Lonchura striata: one gene and its partner. The protein of the gene in region 2 binds, or shares a complex with, the protein of the main gene of each other region. Links are inferred from orthologs where the notes say so. Each region holds a gene or a part of one and is shown on either strand. Other genes may lie near its edges.

Region 1 (11,192 bases), on a different chromosome or scaffold from region 2:
AAAAAAGGCAAAGCCAATACATATGGATGAACTTTTTCATTCATAATTTTAGATGCCACACAATGAAGGCTGTTGTTTAAGCTTTATTTTTTCTCTAACAGCTCTCCATACAATGCAGTGCATTGTTCAAACTCTGGAGCAATTTAAGCTTTTTCAATGTCTCCTAAAATCCCTGGATTTATATCCAAAGAGAGCTGACACTGTAACAAATTTGACTTGTGAGTAACAAGTTACAGCCTTTAAGCAAATTGCTCATTAACACAGAATTCAACTTACTGCTACAAACCTCACTACCTTTTATCTCAGGAAAAAAAATATGCTGCCTATCTTATCTACAGAAAGCTGTGGGATAACACTCTATTATATTTGGGTTTTTAATTTCCTTGTTTGAGTTCTCAGTACAAATGCTGAACTAGCATCCAGGGTGAGAACTCCAGAGGGGGAAAAAAAAAGTTAAAGCATGACCTAAATCTATCCTGCCTTTGATGATGGAGGAAAATAAACTGAATTTTGCTGTCAGTCCTGAAGAGGATATTCCCAACTTCATGTTAGGAGGAAATGAGCAAGAAAAGCCCAACTGTGAAGCTGGGGCTCTTTGTTTTTTTCCTGAAGATGAAAGAGATTGAAAATGCAAAACCCACTGAATGTTCTATAAATGGGGACCGCTCTGTAGATGCATCTTAATTTACATGGCTTTGAACAGAATTTTTACACTGTGTTACAAATAAGAACACTTAATTTGCCATGAAGGAGATTCTTATCCAATTCTTAGCAGAATAGTGCTTAAGTCATTTTACATATTTAGAAACTAACCCGAATTTTGCAGTTAATAGGAGAAACTGATGTTAGAGAAAGAGAAAAATGCAAGGTCAGCAGAGAGAGCTGATGGAAACTCTTCTTTAGAACTTAAGAAAACATGTTGCATTTCGTCAAAAAGCAAATTAAGTTAGCAGGATCTGTGCCTCTGATAGCAAACATCTGAAGTGGCCTTTTGGGGAAGACACAGACATTTTCAGGATGCTTTGCAGTGCCCTGAGAGGACACCCAGCTCTGCAAGCCAAGGAATGCTCCAGCCTTACAGGAAGTCAGTGAAATAATTATGTAATATGCCACTAACTAATGAAAGCTGTCCTGAAACCAAAGAGGGGTGTTTTGATAGAAATCTGGATCCAATTTTCTTCATAAAAAAAAAAAAAATCCCAGTCTTCTAGACTATCCAGAGAACTCTACATAACTATTTTGAGTGCTCCAAGTAACATGCCTGGGGGATTTCTTAGCATCTTATTGCATTTCTTTATACCTTTCCCAGCACAGCAGTTCCAGCCCTGAGAATGCAGCAATAACCCAGAGCATCTGAAACGGGGAGAGAGAGAGGAAGGAAGGCAGAAATCTGCCTTCCAACACAGCACCATCTGTGATAAACAACAGAACGAAAGGGATCTGCCTGGAGACTGCTTCTCCTCATGCATATTCCGTGGGAAAGCAGGAGCCAGAACTGGCTGGACAGCCCTGGAGTCAAAGAGCAGCATCACCTGTGCTCTGCTCTGTTTTGTTTAACTCTGAGCACTCCATTACCTCAACAGCGGGCTCAGAAGGAATATTGAGCCAGAGTTAAGTGAGTTTCCACCACAAAACGAGATGCAGATGTTCCAGCCCGGATTACCTGGCTGGATCAAGTGGCTGCCATTCGATAGGAAGCACTGGGAATGCCAGCCTGCCTCAGAATGCTGCTGCTCCTTCTGCACCTCTGCCAGGGCTCCCAGGAGCTTCCTCATGGCCCTCAGCTCATTAAAGCAAAATAATGATCTGAAAGCACCACTCATTAAACTGGCCGTTGTTGATCGCTGGCAGCAAATGTTGAGTAGAAGAATATCGGATGTATTCACGCTAAAGATGAGCATCCAGATGCCAAGGCAACAATTCTCTATTTCTACTTTCCTATTGCACCAAAACTATTATAATAAATTACTTGAAGTGGTTGATCATCACTAATAGAACTGTCCTTTTCCACTGGTGAGGACTACACATCCCCACTGGAGTGATTTAAAAATTTTCTTTCAAATGTCTTTTTTATGCAACTTGCTAAAAAAAACCCCAACCCATTAACATTCAGATTTTTCTCCAAAAGCATCAGTTGGATTTGAGATTACCATGGGGCATCATGGGGGTTCAAAGCTAGTAAAGAGATTAAGAGAAACCTCCAAAGGACACAAATAATCAGTGTAAAACAAACAACCTTGAGGAAAAGAAATGGCTTTATCCTGTGCTTCAGAGTTATGGACCACCTTTCTAAAACTCTTTCCCCTCATTTCTGGTTATAATCCTTTTCCTAGCTGTGGCTGTTTTAATTACATGAGTGCACAGAAATCTCCAGGAGGCTACAAAGGCACCTTCAGAAGTCATTTAGAAACCTCCTGCTCAAAACCAGCCTCAGGCAGGATGGGATGCTCAGGTGGGATTTGAGTATCTCCAAAGGTGGAGACTCCACAGCCTCTCTGGAGAACCTGTGCCTGTGCTCTCCAACCTCACAACACAAAATAAATCACCCCACCTTTGAGAAAACAGCCAGGCCTGCAGCCCAGCCTCACTTTTGGACAGCTAATGGGAGAACTTCCAGCTCTCCCACTGCCAGCCCAGCCCCAGCAGAAGGACAATTTGCTGCCCACAAGGCAGATCCCATCTATGTTATCACCATTTCTTCTCTTCCCCCAGAGAGGAGGCCAAAATCAGAGATGTGTTTAATGAACTAAACAGCACAATATTTCCATGCTGGGAACTCCGTGGCTGGACTGTGACCACGAATGGCACAATTTAGGAGCAGACTGAGATGAAGACACAGCTGAGTTCTTGGGAGATTCCTGCTCCTCCCAGGCAGAAAAGGCTCTCCAAGGCTGGCATTAACTCAGCTCACAGATAACAAACTGCTGTCCGGGACTCTAGCTGGGCAAGAAAATGCAGGACCATGCTCAGGATGCAAATCACACTCCTCTGCTCCATGTCCAATTTAAGGGTTGACAGATACACACATTGGAGGATCTTTTCCTATTTCTTAGGGATCAACACATCTATGATCCAAAGGCTGTTGCAAATCCAACAGTTCCAGTGCCAGAAGAGTAAAACCATCAATAAACTTCATAAAACATGCTGCCATAGCTCACCAGCATAGAAATAATCTCAAAAACAAAAAACAAATGCTTCAAGAACGAATCTAGGGGAACAAGGAACCCATCTATTTCCTGTGGCCTATAGGCCCATCACTCTTTCCTCTGAAATTTCAAACCTATTTTTATCTTATCCTGCATCTTTAGAAGTACTTTTCAGGAAGGCATCCATTTATAAGTAGTTCAAGTGTGGCTTTCAGTAAATCCTAATTAATTGAGTTTGAGAGGGAGTTTTGTTGTCAGTGCAGTTACTACTGCAACAGTGTCCCTGGAAAGACAAGATCCATCACCGCTGACACAACTCACTTCTAAAATAAATACTATGGCAGAGGCCAGGAAGATCTGTAGGCATCTCTAAAACACCCTTTGAGTTCAGAGCAGATGTTGCCAGTGTTTACACTTTTTAAATCATTGGGATATAAACACCTCACTATAAACACCACTGAAGTTTTGCTTTTCTTCTCTTCATTTTATGTGTGTTTATTTTAGTATTAAAAATGTTAACTTCCAGAATAAGGAAAATAGCAACAGATGTTTAATCTAAACAAAAACTGCTCCAGTAGAGTGTATTCCTTAAGCTGTTCTTTTGCTTTTGTACTATTAAAGCTAAGATATGGTTAAATAATAATTACTGGAGAAGAGGGTGGGGAATAAAAATGGGACTGGAAAGAATCTTCCATAAATATAAGGCATAATTACAATGAATTGAAGTAACGAGCCAAAACTACAGAGCAACAAAACTTAGTGAAAGAAAGGTGTATTATGTAAATAAAGCTTTGCATAAAATTCCATGGTCTTCATAATTATCACTTGCTTCTCAAGAAAACACTAATTACTGCAGAGAGCAGTGAAAAAGTTAAAGGATCATGAAATGAAAAAGTTAAAGGATCCTGAAAGTTGTTTTTATTTTTTTTTCTTTTAAACCAGTTTTCTTGCTCTAACAAAGAAAGCATAGCATAAGAAAGAAGTTGGGAATTGAACTTCACAGAACCCCAGCTCTGTATTATTCAGCTCATCTTCTGTAAAAGAGCTTAATCCAAATGAATATATACATACATATTTGTCCAAGAAAGAAAAGGCAGGAAAAAAGGAGAAACAAAGATATTAACAGTACAACAGGGAGCCCCTGCACTTCCTGAAGGGAAGCAATGAGGCCATGCTGGCTTAGGGATAGAAAAGACTGTGATTTCCAAAGTGAGATTCAGCTGCCTGCGTTCTGGCCTGGCCTTTTCCTGAGCACTGTGAACAGATATCTCCTTGGCCTGTGTATGCTCCTCATTGTTTCTTTCCTCACAACTCCACCAAGTTTATTTTCTCAACGAACGTGGAAAGCGTTTCTGCTGAATCAGAAAAAAAAAAAAAAAAAAAAAAAAAGCTTTTCGCGGCGCTTGTGTGTGGCTCCAGCAAAACCAGCCCCGCTGCCAAGCCGAATTAGCTCAGTGGTGCCTTTCTCTCCAGGCAAAGCCAAGCCATAACCGCTTCTCGCAGCCGCACGTAGAGAAAGCCGCGCGGATTCACAAACCGCTGCTGCCCTGTTCCCGCGGGCGCCTTCCCAGCAGGGCTCCGCGGGCTGCCGGGGCAGGGCGGCCAGCCCCGGGACGGACCGTGCCCGGCCCGGGGGACACGCCGGCAGCCGGGCCGGACCGTGCCCGAGGGACACGCCGGCAGCCGGACCGTGCCCGGCCCGGGGGACACGCCGGCAGCCGGACCGTGCCCGGCCCGGGGGACGCGCCGGCAGCCGGACCGTGCCCGGCCCGGGGGACACGCCGGCAGCCGGACCGTGCCCGGCCCGGGGGACACGCCGGCAGCCGGGCCGGACCGTGCCCGGCCCGGGGGACACGCCGGCAGCCGGGCTGGACCGTGCCCGGCCCGGGGGACGCGCCGGCAGCCGGACCCACGCGTGTCCGCCCGCGGCGTGGGACGCACGGACAGAGCCCGGCCTCAGTGCCAGCAGCGCCGCCCGCCAGGGAAAGCAAAGCAGGCGCTGGAAACGCGGGTTGTGAAAATAAATAAATAAATAAGAACAGGGGGAGAAAAAAAAAAAATCACAAAGAAATCCCTGCCCTGTAACAAAGCTCTGACAACAGCCCGAGGGGCGTCCCGCACCGGCGATCTCCAAGAACATCCCCGCTGACAAACAAGAGCGAGCGCCGCTCGGAGAAGGAGCCATCCTGGAAGGGATCCATCCCTCCCCGTGCGAGGGATCGAGGGATCCTTCCCCCCGTGCGAGGGCACCGCTCATTCCCCGTGGCGAGGCACTGTTACCTTCGTAGCACAGGATGCCGATGTTGTTGTTCATCTTGTCCAAGTACTGGTAGTTCAACAGGTCCATCCTCATAAACAGCATTTATCGGGCTGGCGGAGGCGAGCGGCTCCGGGCGGGGGAGGCAGACGGTGCCGAGGCGCTCCGGCTTCCCAGCCCCAGCGAGGCCCAGCCTGGAGCGGGGCGGGAAGGGGCAGCGGGCTCCGACAGCCCGGGCAGCGCGAGGGGAGGGAGCCCTCCCAAGAGTTCTTCCGAGTTTTAAAAAAATAATAATTAAAAAGAAGAGCGCTACAGCAAAGCGAAGGCGGCGGGGAGGAGGGCGCAGCCCGCTGCGAGCGCCGGCGCTGACAGCGGCAGTGCCCGGCACTGCCCGGGGCCGCGCAGGCGCTGCCGGCCGCGGCCGCTTTGTGCTCCGCGGGGAGGAGCGGCCGCGTCAGAGCCGCGCACAGGAAGCGGCCGCGGCTGCGGGAGGAGGAGGAGGAGGCTACGAGGGGAGGAAGCGGCGCCGAGGGGCCTCCTCCGCGCTCGGGGGGCGGGTGCCGAGCCTGCTGTTTGAAACCAATTCTGCGGGAAGCAATGCGACAGCAGCCGTGGAATCACGGCGTGGCATCGCAGGAATGATCAGTGGAATCGCAGGAATGAGAGAGGCAATTAAAATAAAAGGCGTGATGCAGTGGCCATTGCCTCCGTGTATTTAGTTTATATATAAATAGTTTAAAAAGGTTTCTGTCTCTACATATAAACGGGCATCGCACACATTGCTGCAGTTCCATCAGGGCACAGCCAGATCGGATTTTTTAAGGGCTGCTCGTGGTTAAACATTCTGGGCTCTGGATCTTTTCCTAGCTGTGGCTGTTTTAATTACATGAGTGCGCAGAAATCTCCAGGAGGCTACAAAGGCACCTTCAGAGGTCATTTGGAAACCTCCTGCTCAAAACCAGCCTCAGGCAGGGTGGGATGCTCAGGTGGGATTTGACCATCTCCAAAGGTGGAGACTCCACAGCCTCTCTGGAGAACCTGTGCCTGTGCTCACCAACCTCACAACACAAAATAAATCACCCCACCTTTGAGAAAACAGCCAGGCCTGCAGCACAGCCTCACTTTTGGACAGCTAATGGGAGAACTTCCAGCTCTCCCACTGCCAGCCCAGCCCCAGCAGAAGGACAATTTGCTGCCCACAAGGCAGATCCCATCTATGTTATCACCATTTCTTCTCTTCCCCCAGAGAGGAGGCCAAAATCAGAGATGTGTTTAATGAACTAAACAGCACAATATTTCCATGCTGGGAACTCCGTGGCTGCCAAATCCCTGGCTGAGCTGACAGAGGCGATGGAGCCCGGTGCTGCTCCAGCTCTCCCGTCCCTGGATGTGGGCTGCCCCTCTGCAGCCCCAGCCTGGAGCTCAGAGCTGCTCAGACAGATGTGTGCCCTCATCCCGAGAAGGCAGAACATCTGGGCAGGTGTGCGAACCTGGTGGGCATCAGTTCACATTTGCTGTGGGTCATCAGCGCCTCAAGTCTCGGGCTGATAGGAAAAGAGAAATAAAAAAAGCCAATGGAAACCTAATTTTCCCTCTGCCCGCTTCAGCTTGGAGCACAGATCATCCCTGCCCATCTGGGATGAGAAATCTTCATGGTGCACACAAGGGCAGTAGCAGTAAAAAACTTCAATTTCCACCCTGAGAACTTCTCCCCTCTGCTAGAGAAGGGGAAGGGATGACATGACAGAGGCAACTCACAGAGTGACACTTTGTGATGGCATTTTGAGAGTTACTGCTTGAATGCTCTGGGTATTCCAGTAAAAACAGGTAGCTTAAATTTACTGCTGGTGTCCATTGAATATTCTAAGGAAGATTGCCTAGAACATAAAAAAGGTTTATTCTCAGTGCAGATACACAATGTTGAGGTAACAACACATTTCTTGATTGGTATCTAATAAAAAGTTGCAGTTGTTTTGCAAAAGTTGCAACCACACAGACCAAAGCATCCCATGCTATTTTCCAGAAAGATAAACATTTTTAATAAAGAGTAGTGTATGGTAATTTTTAAGCAGGGCATGAGAAGTTTTGCATATTGTACATACTCAGAGATATTCTACACCAATCCATCAAATTAAAACAGCCATCTAATAAAGACATCAGGAGAAATTTGAGCCCTCTAAGATATAAACAACAATAAAAATCCACACCTCCAACATTAAAAAAGAAAGGCATGTTTCTTCAGCATGAAACACAAGTTCCTCACCAATTTTGGGGACAATATTTTGATATGCATATAGAGAGCATCCCTGAATTCACATGAATGCAATACATTTATTGGGTGCTTGGGAAGGACAAGAAGATAAGTATTTGATTTTTTTTGCTTTGAAATACTTGGATTTTTGTGGGAGGTGCAGGTGATGAGGAAGAAAACACTATTTAAACTCCTTTAGAGCAGTGCTCTAATAGACAGGGGTGCACATGGCCATTATAATTCCCAGTCCAATTTGAATTCTCTATATTCAAAGTTACATATTTCTTCAAGCTGTTTGGAAAAGCATGATTGGGTGCTGTCCAGAAACCACTGACTACTCAGAAGCGCTGTCCAGACACTAATAAAGGAGTTAATTCTTCTTTATTAGACCAGTAGTCACTGGTGTGCAGGTTTTTAGGCAGTAATGATCATTGTTAGGTGAATGGCTTTCAGCATTTCAGTACAAACTCTGATTGAACTTGTCAAATGTTGCATAATGAGTGTGCTTTACAATAAATAATAAAAAACTGTACCAAATACCAAGAGCTTTTTGAACTTCTAAATTAAAATACCTGTGCTGCAAACAAGGCAATGCCTAGTGAAAGAATGGGGGAGAATTATCAATGTAAACATATCCATTACGCTGCATTTTAAACCCAAAATCCATTCTTAGGAAAACTTTCTTTGAAAGAAAATTTTATCAGTTCAACAAACCCAAGTCCAGCAGACATTAACCTCAAATACTGACAGGGTCACTGCATAGTACTTGGTTCCTGTCAGCAAATTCTCAATTCAGTTTGCTGCTCATCGGTCTGAGAGACCTTCCACTGAACAGAAACCAATCATCAGTGCAGCAGAGGGCTGGGGAAAGGCTGCTTTTCATCAGCTCCTTCTGCTCCCTGAGAGCTGAGGCATCCCTGCCTCTCGCTGGCTGGAGTATTTATTTCCTCTAGGGTCTCACACTCCCTGCTCCTGGCACTGAACCCCAGAGCTGGGATCCGCTGGGAGAGCGCTGAACTTTAATTTAACACAACAGCAGCCTCTAGAGGTAAGGGGAAAGGCACAGCTCCGGTGGGATTGACATGGATTTTCTTCTGATGACCCCACAGAGCAGGGCACAGCCTTCAGCCTCTCAGGGATCTGCTTCACCTCAGCCCAGAGAGCAAATTCAGTCTGCACACAGCAATGTCTCACCGCCTCACAAGACAAAAAAGCAAAGGAAGGAAAGCAAAAAGAGCAGGTAAATCACCTCTGTAAATCACCACTTAATATAAAAGCAAATCCCTACAACTGTATATTATTCGACTGTATATTATATTCTTAATATATCAAGTCTGTGATATCAGATTTGACAGTGAGATTTTATATGGGTTTTAGAGCATTTGAACAAGCACTGAGCTGCTTTAGAGCATTACAAACATACAGGGAGCTGCATTTTTCTGTGTCTTTTCTCTGCCCTTCTCGACCCTCTCCTCTCTCACATGTGCTGCTGCCTCAGGCAGTGCTGAAGAACGTGAGAAAACAAAATGCCTTTGGTGCCCGCACTCCAACACATCTTCCAGGGAGAATATGGGCAACACTGGCTAAGAACCAGCCCCACAATAGGAGACAGCTGGAATTCCACCCGTGAAGATCATCAGCAGAGAGCAATTATTGAAACAGTGACCAGTTCTGTACCCGAGAGAAAAAATAGTCTTTATAGAGGTGGGACACACTCTGCTGTGTCTGTGTGGCCACACAGTGTTGCTCAGCTTAATTCCATTTTTGAGTAGATAATTGTCAGCTGCAGCTCCTCAGGTCAGACAGGCACCTACTGAAACCTCAATGCACACTGAGGAGGAGGTGGAGGAATAAAGCAAGAACATTTAAAAACAGGTTTTACCCTTTTTGTTGCCCTAAGAAAAGAGCAAATTCGAGTTGAGGGTTGCTAGGTGGCGATGTGCCTGAAGGAAAAGGCTTTTCTTTTTCCATGCACTCCACGGCAGTGTGTGGGAAAAGCTGCTCTCAACATCCCTGTTGTTACATTTGTTAGAATGCATTGCACAGGAAAAAGGCAAAATAAAAATTCCCCTTGAAGCAGGATGGGGTGTTTGCTTTGAAATCCATTCAGGTGTGATGAGGAAATACAGTTAAAATGGACTGAACATGCAGCAAACCCAGAAATGGATGACAAGGAAAATGACATTTCAAGTTCCTTACAAGCAGCAACAAACACTTCCCTTGGTGAGACAGACAGCACAATAATAACTTTACACACGCATTAAGCACTCAACTGCACCAGTGGACAGAAGATATCAAAACACACATCATTCCCATGTGCATTCTTCCACCTTTTTTTCTTAATCATGAAGTTGCATTGCAAATAGATTTTAATCACATCCAGCTACCTGTTCCCTTAAGATAAATCAATAACTAAGGAAAGCCCCATCAGGGTGGGCATCTCTGAGCTCAAGCTGTGTCTTCCTTTTTGACCTGTCCCCTAGTTAAAGGTTTCAACAACATGCCAGATATTATAGAACAAAAATATGCCTTTTTAATTGTCACTGGAGCTTCTCAAGCCTGAAATAGGGAAGTTTACACCCAATATTGTAATGAAAGAATTTGTGCATTCTATCATTCTTGTCATAACCTAAATAGGGAATGCTGCTTTCAAAACCCAAACACAGCATTATCTAGTGAGGAAATCTGCTTATGAGTGTGTGAGTGTCACAAAGTGCTGTGCAACTCACATTGGAATCCCCCGTGAACAAAATGCCAGGGAAACTAAAAATACAGCAATGCCTAAGAGTGTCTAGAATTGCAAGAACTTGTAGGCCCAGGAATAGATGGTAATGGCTTGTCTGGACGGGCAGATGGACTGATTTTTTAAGGTTTATTTTAAATGCCTTGCTGCACTGCAGTTCTTATTCAGTACTACTCTCTTCTTTAAAGACACACAGATTGCAAAAAGCATCTCACCGTGGCGGTAAATAAAAATTTCAGATCACTTGTTTGCAAATACTGAGCAATTTAGGACCATCTATGTCATATCAGATCAGAAAATTCCAATGTGTTTATCAACTCAAAAAGCTTTTGGTGAATTAAAACCTGCCCCCAGCAGCAGGAATCATTTACCTCCCACCCCAAACTAAACACACCTGCTGTCCTTCCACAGCCTTTCCCAGGTGGGAATTTGGGCCAGGAAAGGCAGAATCCCTGGCAGGGCACAGACAGAGCTTCCCTTGTAGGATTTTTTTGCAAAAACCACAATTAATTCTGAGTGAATATATAAAATAGGCACAGAGGTGCTGGGCGAGGCCTCTGGTTCATCAAGAATATTTTCCATTTCTCACTGGTATCTTGCAGCTCTCAATTTGCTGGTGTTTTTCTCCTTTTGTTTTCTTAGGCTGGGCTGAGAAGACTTCAAAAGTGCAGCTAAAGCACACAACAGATAAATCTAGTTTATCTGTGTGGGAAAATTGTTATGTGCTAATTAAAAACTTGATAATATTTTCTGCTATTTGCATACTATTTTAAATCTCTGAAGGGTTGATGATAA
Region 2 (12,047 bases):
AGTTGTGCACATGGAGTGGGGGCAACAAGCAGGGCAGGTGCCCCCGTACAGGCGGACGGGTGGCTGGGTGTCCCCAGAGCCATGTCCCATCCTGTCCCACTGAGAGCCACCGCCCTGCCAGCTGGACAGGCAAGCAGGGCTTGGCCCGGGTGCAGAAGGAAAGGATCCAGGGGCTCTGTTGACATAACAAGCCACTAGAGAGCACTCTCAAATGTATTTATACCCTTTGCCTAAGTGCTGGTTCATAAAAACACGCGGTTGCCATGGCCTGGTTTACAGCACGTCCAAACAGAGAGCTCCCAAACATACCAGGTTTTCTGAGGCCACTGCAAAGACGGTCAAAGCTTCCCTTGTGTGGCACCTTTCCCACCCCCTGGGACCCAGGCACAGGGCAGCACCCACCAGCTCCATGCATCCCTTCTTGTCCCACACTACTATCTGTTTACAAATAAATGTCAGGACAGTATTTTAAAAAAATTAAATAATATTGTACAACTATAGCTTTTTCAAGTTTTCTTTCTTCCTTTTGTTAGAGATACAAAAAAAAAATGCAGTAAGTATTTGAAAATCCTAGTTTCCTTATGCTTAGTGACAGAAATGAAAAAAAAAAAAAAAAGAATAAGAAAAACTATAAAATACCAAACTGGCAGCAGGTTAGTTCAGCAGCTATCAACAAAAGAACCATGCAGTTGAAAAAAATCTGCCAGGAAAAAGTGTATTTGAAAAAAAAGTGATGGAAGTGGGTTAGGAAAAAAAATTGTAATCACACATTCTTCATTAAAACACTTTTAATACTACACAAGTTACAGTATCACCTTTTAAAAAGTTTAAAAAGGAATATTAACAGTAGCACTGTTGCAACTAAAGCACTTCAAAATAATAGAAAAAAAAAAAAAAGAAAAAATTTGTAGCCCAGGAAGTAGTAATAAAGAATCCACTGGAATATTACTGTAATTGAGCAAAGCAACCAAAAAGAAAAAGCAACATTCAATGTGAGAAAAATGAACTATGTATGAACACCCTCAAATTTTTTTAATTCTTTTTTTGTTTGTTATTTTGTTTTGTTTGTTTTTCTTTTGCAGTTCTGAAGTTTTATGGTGGAGGTTAGACATGGCTGGGGGCTCAAGTCAGCTGAGTGAGCATAGCCACCGTGTGCCATTTCTTTTCCATCTATGTTGTTACTGGGCCAGTGCCTGGCATCAGTGGCTGGGGAGTTTCCATCCTCTCCAGGAGTCACAGAACTGCAGGAGCGGGTGGCTGGCAGGAGGAGGAAGGTGTGCTTCCCTACAGGCCTCTCACACCAATGTCCCTCTGCCCCAAAACAAGGGTGCGCTTTGTCAGGAGCTCAGGAGCAGGTCTCACCCTCAGCACGCTCACAGCTGGGACACCTGATGACACAAAATGGGGGGCTCTTTTAGGCAGGCTTTGGAATTCAGTTTCTGCTTCTTTCTTAAGAGCAGGGACACCGCCTTAATCAAACCATGAACTTCATCCCATGTAAGGTATTATGCCAAGCAACTTTGAAGAACTTGTTACCATCTATCAGCTCAAATTCCATTTTTTTAATAAAGTGCCTAGATACACATTTACACAGATCATAGTGGTTCCAAAGAATCCTTTACAGTTGGCATTTTTTTATATATAGGTATATATATAGGTATGTATATATATATAATGTGCGTTTTCTTCAAATTGGCTAAATGTGTTTACATAAGACACCAATCTTGACTATAAGTTTTAAAGCGTAATATTGACTCAATGAATTTGTTTATCATGCAAGTCTTATCTAATATTACATTGACCTGTAATATGGAACACAATGTAGTGGGTGTGCTCATTAAACACTTCATAGAAAATTACTGTGCATGTGCAGTTCTGATCTTCAAATACTAATAAGGACCATTTCTTCTCTTTTTTAAAAAAATTAGTCTTAAAAAAAAAAAAAAAAACCAAAAAACTCCTCTGCATTAAATTGCAGTTTGAACATTATCACAATAAGAACAGTTGAGTAAAAAGCATCCAAAAATCTTGAATTTTATAGTTGGCTGAAACGATTTCTCCTCCTCCTCCTCTTCTGATACTAGAAGTGTTTATTAGCTGGTCCCTGGGGATGACCTCGCCACCTTTTTGCTCAGAAACAACCGCAAATAACCGAGTTATAAACACCTCGACAGAAGGGCTCGTACAGATGCAGTGTTGCCAATGAACTATAAACAGCACAAAAACATCACTATTAGACTTGAACTATTTCTAGTAACCAATGATTTATTGATTTTAGAAGTCTGCTTGGTGATGCAGAAGCGTGATCAAAAGAAGTGGCTTTACAAAAGAGTTCTCCAAAGTAGCTTAAAAGGCAGGGCCAGGGCCATTATGTACAGCCCTAATTGCTTTCATTTCAACCAGTTTATATTTTCATTTTCAAAGAATAGCAGTAGGTTTGTTTCAAGCATACGTAATAAGGAAATTACAGGTTTCCTCCACCCACATTTGGGCTGTCACTGATATGCCCGCGGGCAATTTGGCAGAGCCTCAGTCACTGCTGTCACTGTACCACACCGTACCTGCCACTACTTGGAAATACCGGGTCAGCGATAGTAACAATAGCAACAGCACTAGAGGTGACTGGTAAGCAAAATCAAAATCCATATGCACTATCTGAAAATTAAAGTAAAATAAAATAAAGTCTCTTCCCCACATCCCCAGCTTGTTCCAAATACACAAAAGCCCCACAAGTGACACTGAAGACCTTCAGAAATGGCAGTGCTACATTGGCACCTTCACCAATCACGTAACTAAGTTCATTATCAAAATTCCACGTTATGGTATGTAATTGGTGAATAAATGCAGTTTTGTAATCTTAGAACTGATCACAAGAACTGCGGTCAACTTTGCCTTGGAAAAAAAACGAAAAAAACAAAACAAAACACCAAACCAAAAACAAACAAACCCAGAAATCCCTAACTCAACAGCGCCTCTTGGACACCTCTCCACATCCTACTCTGGTGGCAGCTTCCCTTGAGAAACAGTGAGCAATTTGGGACTGGATCTGGAGGATCTTCCATCGCACCCTGAGCCACGCGCTTCTGGGAGAAAGCCCTCCTGCTCCCTAAGCTCGCCTGGCCAGTGGGATGGCAAGTGCATGCCTGCCTTGGCTAGCCACTCTTGTCCCCAGCTGCCTCAGACCAAGCCTGCATGCGACCAGCTCTACAGGACAGGGGCCAGGAATAAGGAATCACAGACAGTAAGGCAATCTTTACAATGTCAGAAAGTGTATTTGGCATTTAAAAAAAAAAAAAAAAAAGAAAAGGAAAGAAAAAACAGAAGAAACAAGTGCATACAAATACAGCTAGAAGCATTTCTGGTTTGCCAAGTGCTCTCTAAAAAAAGCAGCGCAAGTCACAGCCTACATTGAACAGTAACTGTCACCAGGGAAGCACAACAAATAGTTGCTATAACAAAAGGGAAAAAAAGAAAAAACGAAACAGAAAAAAAAAAAAAAGAGAAGAATTAGAAGAAATGCCTTTATAATAAGTACATACCTTTGTCTTCAAAAAATATAGAAACACAATGTATTCAAAAAAATCAAAATTATACAGCCATGTTTATGAAGTCTACATTTCCCTTGTCTTGGAGATATATATATATATATTTATATATATATATTTATAGATATATACAGAATTCGAGCAGTTCGAGTTCAAGGTGACGTCGGGCAGCGAGTGCAGGCGAGTCACGAGTCCCTCTCCTTTTTCACTTTCACATCTCCGGCCAGGATGGTGGCGATCTCCCCTTGCATGAAGGCCCAGGGGACGTTGGAGCCGACCAGGGGACACTTCTCCCCGCTGGGGCAATACACCTCCCCGCTGGCTCCCTGCTGCTTGATGCTCTGCCGGGAGCAGGGGAAGCAGAACTTGTGGGAGGGGACGGAGGGGCACTGCACGAAGTGGGTGTCTTCCAGGCGCTCGTGGCAGAGGGTACAACACAACGGGACGCTGGCGGCGAGGGACGAGTCCGGCAGGCTGGCGGGGTGCACGGGCTCCAGCCCGCCCGCCGCCGCCGCGCTGGCCCCCTGGCCCGGCACCTCCCTGCCGGGGCCCAGCCTTCTTTGGTTCATGGCGGAGGGCGAGGGGGGGCTGCTGCTGTTCCTCCGCGTGGTGGAGTGGACCTGGTTGGCGTCTTTGGAGGCGTGGTTGCCCCCGGCATTGTCCGCCACCAGAATGAGGGCGGCCATGGGGGACTGGCCGTTCTGTGCCGCCTCGGGCGGCGTGGTCCGGTTGGAGTGGGGCGAGGCGGTGGGCGGCGGGGGCGACATGAAGGGGGTGGCCGTCAGCGGCAGCTTCATCCCTTCTGACGGGGTGGGCAGCCAGGGCTGCACCTCCCCGTTGATCTTCGGGGGTCCAGCCTCGCCCTCCGGCTCGGGGGAAGGCTTCCTCTTCCGGGCGGCCCGAGCCCCTGCAGAGGCAGAGGTGGGGGGAAGGAGGAGGGTAAGAAGGCAGCGCACTCGCAACGCATTGCCGAGCAACCGCGAAAACGGGCGGCCTCGGCCACCCCCCGGGCACCCGGCCACCCAAGCGGCCGGACCGCCGCCCCGCACGCCCAAAGCCGCCCGGCATCCCCCGCCCCGCATCCATGGAGAGCCACCCCTCCCGCCCTGCCCGCCGCCCCCCGGTCCCCGGCTCCTCACCTGGCTTGGCCACGGAGCCGTTGGTCTCGTAGCCCAGCAGCCGGCCGCCCGCCATGCCCGGCTCTTTCTTGAATTTGCTGTCGAAGGGAGCCACGGTGTGGCTCCCGTGCTGGTGCAGGGCCAGCAGCGTGTCCCGCACTGTCTTGGGCTTGGCCAGCCACTCCTGCTCGGCGCCCGGCCGGCCCTTGCCCTCCGCGGCCAGCTCCGCCGCCGCCGCCGCCGGCAGGCTCTCGGCAGAGCCGCGCTTCTCCTTGGCGCCACTGTCGTGCTCCCCCGCCGCGCCGCCGCCGCCGCCCGAGGAGGAGGAGGAGACGGAGCCGGGACGCTTGTGTCCCAGCTCTCCGGGCTGCCCCGCCGCCTGCGCCGCCGCCTGCGCCGCCGCCGCCGGCTGCTGGGGCACGGGCACGGCCATGGGGGCGGGCGCGGCGGAGATGGCGGCCAGCGAGGCGGCGGCCGCGGCGGCAGCGCGGCTGCCCAGACCGCCGATGGCGGCAGGGAGCCCGGCGCCGTTCACCAGCGGCACTAGGGTGGGCGGTACGGCGTGCGTCCGCCGCGGGTTCGGGCTCTGCCGGTTGAGCTCTGGCGGCTCCTCGGGCTTGGGGAAGCCGTTGGGCACCAGGATCCCGTTGACCTGCCGGCCGCCGCCGTACTCGGCGCCCAGGCGGGGCGGCGGCCGCTCGGCCGCCAGCGAGTAGCGCTCCAGGGGCTGCGGCGGGGGCCGCGCCGCCGCCTCCGCCGCCGAGGGGTGGCCGAGCTGCTGCTGCTGCGCCAGGAGCTCCTTGGCGGAGAGCGGAGGCTGCTTGGCGTGGGGCGGTGGCGGGGCCCGGCCCTCGGGGAAGCAGCCGTGCGCCCGCTTCAGCTGCCGCGCCGTGTCGATGACGAACTCCACGCGGTCGGCGCCCTCGTAGTTGACGCAGCCCCGGCAGACGGGCTCGGTGAAGTCCCAGATCATGGCCCAGGGCATGCGGGGCAGATCGCACAGGTAGCACGACTGCCTGCGGGAAGCAGCCGCCACCGCCGCCGACGACATGTCCCGGCCCCGGGGCAGCGGCGAGCGCCCCCCGCTCCGGCTTCGGCCGCTGCCTCCTCCGCCCCTCGTCACCGGAGTCCCGACGGGCAGGCTCGGGAGCCGCGGCCGCAGCGGGACCGTCCGCCGGGCCCCCTCCCCCTCGCCTTCCTCTTCCGTGCGCTGGAGCGGGGCGCGGCGGGCGCCCCGGCAGGCAGAGCCGCTGCGGGGAACGCCGCTCCCCTCGCCGTCTCCGCCGGCGGCGCTCACAGGGCGGCGGGGACGCGCATCTCCGCCGCGCGGCTGGCGCAGGGCTGCGGCCGCTGCCGCCCGCACGGCTCCCCCGCTCTCTGGCTACTACGGGGCGGCGCGGGGCGGCGGGGGCCGGCGCGGCGCGGCGGGGCGGGTGGGGCGGGGACTGCCACGGGGGCCGGGGCCGGGGCCGGGGCTGGCGGCGGCGCCGTGCCGTGCCGGGCTCCAGCCGCCACCGCCGCCTCTGCGCGCCGCCGCTACGATTCTTCGACAGTGCCGGCCGCGCCTGCGCGGTGGGCGCCCCCGCCCCGCCGCCGCCGCCGCCGCCGCGATCCCAGCCCCGGCCCCTGCCCGCGCCCCCGCCACCGGCACCGGGGGTTCCTCCTGCCGCCGGGGGGCCGCCGCGACCCCGCCCCGATGGCCCCCGGGGAGGGCTGTGGGAGCGGAGAGGGACAAGGCGAGGGGCGGGGGTGCCCCGCAGCTCCCTCCTTCTTTTCTGATTTTATTTTTATTATGGTTGGGTGTATTACTATTCCCCTCACCGCCAAGGGGCTTTGCCGAAACCTCCCACCCGTGGGCGCAGCGGTGCGCGGAGCGCCTCCCGCAGTGCGGGGCTCTGTGTACCCCCTCTTGTCCCCCGCCGCGCTCGCCCTGTGACCTTGGACACGGCGCCCCGGGCGCGCCCCGCAGCTGCGAGGTCCCCCCCGCCGGGCCGGTCATCGCCACCTCCGGGCAGGGGCCGGCGCCCCGCCGAGCAGTGCTCGGCTTTGTTCTCCCCGCCGGAGCAGGAGGCACCATTACAAATAAATGTAACGATTACCCAGCTTTTTTTTTTTTTTTTTTTTTTTTCCTTAACTGTTGTCATTGTGCACAGGAAATAGGACGTTCTAGATTTCCTGTCATTTTAAACCACAAACCAGCAGTTCTCTAATGCAGATTAGCGAAATTCACACAGACTAAGCACACGCCGTCTCGTTCCCAAAAAAGAAAAACCTGTTTCCCCGACCCCCTTCCACGCTGTGAATCGCTCATCCGCCACCTGCACCCGCACTGAAACACAGGATGGGGGCAAGGGAGGGAGCAAGAGAGGGTGTTCGCTCTCCTCGTGTGTCACGGGAGGTGAAGCAACCCCTCAGCGGGCGCATCCCGGCACGTACGGTCGGCTGCACGCCTTTGCCCGTGCGGGGTGAACACGGCGGAGGCTGCTCCCCCCGACAGCCGTGCTCCAGCCGCCCTTCCCACGGCGTTATGTAGGTTACGGAGGAGGGAGGGAAAGAGGGCGGGAGGCGGGAGCCGGGAGCCGGCCGGGGCTGGGGAAGCTCTGACGTCCGTCGCCGCCGCCGGGAGGTGCCTCCCCGCGCCTGGGGGCCGCCCGACGGCGCTGCGGGGCTGGCCCCGCCGCCAGCGCCCGGCCGGGCTGCCGAGGGGCGTCGGGGGGACACCGGGGGCAGAGCCGCGCCCCTCTCGCCCTGCGCTCGCTTCCCGGGGCCGGGACTGGGTGTCGCGGCCGCCCGTGCGCCCCGGGGCTGCGGGGGACCCTTGCTTCCCCCTGCCTCGGCCTCCTGCTCGTCCTGGCACTGCGGCCCCCGTGCCAGGTTGGGTGACTTTGCAACTGCGCGGCCAGCTGGGCGCCCCGGAGGCGCCGGGTTGTACATAAGCGCAAAAAAAGTCAGCCGCGGCCCCAAATCCAGCCCCGCGCACGGTTGCGGCGGCCGGGGCTGCTGCCCCCGGAGCCCCCACAGCTCCAGCAGCCCTGCGGCGGCCGGCCGGGGCCGGAAGGCAGGAGCAAGGAGAAGGGGGCAGCCCTGCCTTGGCCCCGACGTGCTCCCGGAGAGCCAAGGGTTAACATCGGCTCGCTTTTCTCGAGCAGCCCTCCTTTCACGTTGCATCAAAGTCCTTTAAAGCTGTTTCTTTTCCCTCCTCCCCTCCCCGGCTGGAAAGACGATTTATCCATGCAAGCTAAGTAAACAGATCTTTGTTTTCGTCTTCCACCCACTGCCCTCTTTCTCCAGCCCGAAGCTGGAGCCTCGCCAAGCCGGCTGCAGCGATCACTGCCTCCACACACACACACTCACACACACGGGGCGGGGGAAGAAGCCGGGTTTCTCGGGTGAGGCAATGCGCCTGCAATTGGCAGGGACAAGGCAGGAATTGTAATTGCACTTCATCATGTGATGGCTTATGAAAGAGGAAGTTTGGATGTTTTAGTCACGTACTCCTTTGCCCTCTTGCTTTAGCCTCCAGGTTCTCCGAAGGAAAAAATTACATATATTTATATATACTGGTGGAAAGCCAAGAAACAGTGTGTTTGCACATTTTCAGATCATGAGCCGAGCTGGAGTGCTAGCTGAGCGAGGCTGCAGGGTAAGAAGAAAGCAAAGCTTTGAGCTGTGGCAGGCTTTTAACTGCAGGACAGAAAATGTGATCTGTATTTATTTTCCTTTATTTTTAATGAAAACTAGCTGCATGGAAAAGTCAAGATGAGCAGTATTCTGGTTTTGCAGCATTTGCTGCCTTTGAATTCATTCTGGTGGAAAAGGAAAAAAAACGCCAACAAAATCATGTTACCAAGCTCAATGTCAAAAACCTGATAAAAAAATAGTGGCAGTGCTACATAGGAAATGTGGTTTATGTATCAAATCACAAAAAAAAATACCTCAAAGCTGCTGACTGTTACAGCAGTAACTGCACAGGAATTGAACAAATAATGAATTTGTCTCTTGTTCTTTTTTTTTCTCTTTTTTGAAACAGAAGCCATTCCTTTGTGCCAGATCTCTGCTAAACTCCCCTCAATGCAACACACCAAGGCTATAGATAGGAGCAGAGAGTGCTGGACAATGTCTTATGGGGTGCAAGGCTATGAAGGTCTGGGGCAGTCCCTGACCAAGGAGCACCATGGTGGCATGGGTGAGGGTCCAGCACGGTGTGGAAGGCTTTTGTCTTGTTCTGGTGTGCCCAGTATCATGGGTGAGGGAAGGAGGGAAAGGTTGTAGTGGGGCGGTTCTTTGAGTTGAACTCTGTTTGCCACCCCCACATCAATGACATGCCCCTTCTCACAATGTGTTTTTTTGCTTTTGTCAGTGAACCACGCCGAGATCTTCCTGTGTTTCTCTTCCTCCCTGCAGGGTTTTATATCCTTTCCCGCTTATCCTCTGCACTGGCAGCAGTGATTGCATGCAGACTCTTGTTCCAGAACTGTGCCCCCAGCCTGCACTTCACCCACATACCTATCCCCCATGGGGCCTGCCCTTCTGTCTGTGTCCAAACCAGTGCTCCTCACTTGATCACCTCTGCCCTTGGCATTCTTCTTTCCCTTCTGATTGAGGGCTGTCTCACAACCTTCTCCAGCAGATACGCACTGCTTCCTCCATAGCTCTTATTTGCATCCTTCTGTTGTGGCAGCAGTCCTGCAGGGTAATATCAAAATGGCCAGAGCCAAGATAGGAAAGACAATTATGCTGAAGGATGTTACCACCTCTCCTTCATTGATTTATAATGAATTATGGAGGTTGCTCTCTCAGAACTGAGAGAGGAGAGGTTGAGAATAGTCCTTCAAGTTTTGGATTTAGTCAGATGCAGGTGACTTTGAGCCAACAGTGTTTAATCCAGTGTTGTAGGAGGGAAAAAAGATACTGATGCAAATGAGGGTGTCATCAGGCACAGCATGTTGACATAAATAGGGTTTGGACGGGCTCATGGTAAGCCACTGATCCTGCAGATGTTTACAACCAGTTACAACTTTATTCACAGGAGCATCACTATGAATGTAAAGCTGTGTGCACTTATGGGCTTGCAGGATGAGAGCATGCTTCCCCAAGAGCTGCTCATCAGTGGCATGCTGACGGCTGCCCTGCAGCCTGGAGCTGACTGCTGATGGCAGGAGCTGACAGAGCCACTGGCACAAAAATACTCCACTGAGGCCGGAGACAGGTCACTGCACTCACTCAACATGAGGCAGAACGTGCCAGAGGATTGAGAGGGGCTCGAGCATCTACTCAGTGTCTGCTGTTTCCCATACATGGGGCTTTTATTAACTCCTTGAAGAAAGCTGCATTGAATACTGCTGTTTGAGAGCTACAAGGAACCTAAGCAGAGCCTGCCTAGAAGAGGAAACAGCAATAGGACAATCGTTTACCATTCGTTCATGGATTATCCCAAAATATGGAGATGCAGCATATGCTGCTATTCTGCTCCAACCCTTTCCTCTAGACAGCATGGTCAGGGTTAGTTACCAGGGACTTGCACTGTGAGCAAGAGCCTGTGTGCTACAGCTTCTGCTCCATTGGTGGGCTCTGCTCTAGGCAGTTTGGAGAAAAATTTGCATGCTTTCTTTAAAAAAAAAAGACAATTCTGTTTTTAACAGCGCAGTTGACTTTATGCCCTCTTTTCAAGTAGGAGTAGAAAAAAAGCGGCGAGGAAAGGATCGTGGAAATACTTAAGAAATTCAGAGGTTACTACCCTCCGAAGAGAACGAAAAACTTCAGAGAGACACTTCCAGATACCAGAAGAAAGGGCAATTGATGTGGAAAAGCTTCCGCCCCTTATCCCCAGGCTGAGTAAATAGGCATGTCGGGTTATCCCATTTACACCTCGCCTTGGTGCTCTGCATTTCGAGCCACAGTCGGCAATTGTCTGCAGCCACGGGCGAGGGGGGCAGGAATGTGGTGGCCGGGGGCTTCCCGGGGCGCAGGCAGAGCGGCCGGCTGGCCGGGTGACCCCTTCCCAAAATAAACAGGAAGCCCAGGAAGCAGTGACCCCTCCGTGACACCGCGCTGGCTCTGCTCCCTGCCTTCTGTGCGGGAGTCGACAGGCTTCCAAATACCCTCAGAAAATTGGACAGGGGCGAGGACTCCACAGGAAACGTTACAAAATAAGAGCAGAAACAGATCGTCTGTTGAAAAAATTACAGAGGGCCTTAAAGCTCCTTCTTCTTAGGTTTCTGGGTAGTTGTATTCCTTGTCTGTGCTTCATTCCCCTGAGCCCATGTCGATGCAGCTTGCAGAGCCCCGAGTAGCTGCGCAGGGGCAGAGCTTCCCCCTCGGCATGTGTGGAAGTGCTGGTGTGCGTGAGCAAAGCACAAAGAGGAGCCCCAAGGAGGCTGCGCCAAAGGCTTTCTCAGATGGGCTGGGGAGTTCAGGCTGGGAAATGCCTTTTCCCTGTTTGTGGGAGTTGGCAGTAGGGTCCTCACACAAAATAAAACTCAAAACCGAGGACTAGACCTTCTCAAAGTGCGGGCCAAGGGTATTAATGTTGTTTCCAACATGGGAGTTCCTGCATTACCCAAACATCCCCCTGAAGCAGCAAACTGGCGCTTGCTGACAGCTCCAGCTGGCAAATCACCTCCCGGGCCTGCCAGAAGAACTCGCCGTCCCAAAAGCCTCCCCGCCTCGAAGCCCCACAGTTTGGGGCAGGACAGGACCACCACCAGTGGGGCAGGCAGCCCAGCTGAAGGGAGACTGTGCTGCTGCTGCTATCCTGGCAGCACCGGCCATTTCGCAATCCCATTTTTCTACTCACACAGCAGCAGTTGTCTCGTCCTTCCTGCAGGCACAGACACCTGGAGGGGCTGAGGGCTCCTGGGGGCAGGTGCCGATGGTTTGAGCCCCACACAGATCAGCTAGTTCAAAAAGACTCAGGGGAAAGAAAAGGGGAGATGGATTCCCTCTCTGATTCCCTGCCAATTGTTAGGATTGTATAGCTACTGAACAGTGGGTAGCAAACCAGACATGCCCACCTATTTGGGTAGCAACATGTACTATGCTGGTGTGCTCCCCTATCCCCCCCACCTCAGAGGGGTTGCTCTTTAGGAAAAGGACTATAGTACAGGGAGCAGTGGGCAGCTGCTAGAGGAGAGTCCCTTGAACAGACCAGGTTTCCTTCCGGAAGAATTTTGATCATTGACATGCAAAAGCTGCAAAATGGTTCATTAGGCTGCAGCCTTGGTTTGTTCCAGGCACATTGAGATATTGTTGTGGTGCTCGTGTTTCCGCTAGTCATTGCAGCTATACTATTGCAATTTTGCAATCAGACAAGAGTCAACAGAAGGGTGCCCAAATCTGAGAAAGCACAGAATGCAAACAAAATTTGGTTTTGACCTCCCAGCAC

What was found.
Region 1: the proteins of IRF2BP2 (region 2) and VGLL4 are in contact, whole or in part, in a crystal structure (PDB 8YTF), measured with the Homo sapiens proteins. The link is inferred for Lonchura striata from reciprocal best matches to the Homo sapiens genes IRF2BP2 and VGLL4. Residues at the interface, in NP_892017.2 of Homo sapiens: Thr516, His517, Phe518, Val519, Gln520, Pro522, Phe531, Leu557, Trp564, Ala565, Phe566, Met567, Glu570, Thr573, Ile574; in NP_055482.2 of Homo sapiens: Arg161, Ser163, Val164, Ile165, Thr166.

What each region holds. Positions count from the first base shown.
Region 1 is NC_134614.1:5,200,743-5,211,934, reverse strand, and holds the start of VGLL4 (transcription cofactor vestigial-like protein 4), read right to left. Parts: upstream 5,793-11,192; 5' UTR 5,509-5,792; coding exon 5,427-5,508; intron 1-5,426. UniProt on the Homo sapiens protein: May act as a specific coactivator for the mammalian TEFs.
Region 2 is NC_134605.1:45,045,297-45,057,343, forward strand, and holds IRF2BP2 (interferon regulatory factor 2-binding protein 2), read right to left. Parts: upstream 5,831-12,047; 5' UTR 5,715-5,830; coding exon 4,685-5,714; intron 4,453-4,684; coding exon 3,731-4,452; 3' UTR 1,543-3,730; downstream 1-1,542. UniProt on the Homo sapiens protein: Acts as a transcriptional corepressor in a IRF2-dependent manner; this repression is not mediated by histone deacetylase activities. Represses the NFAT1-dependent transactivation of NFAT-responsive promoters.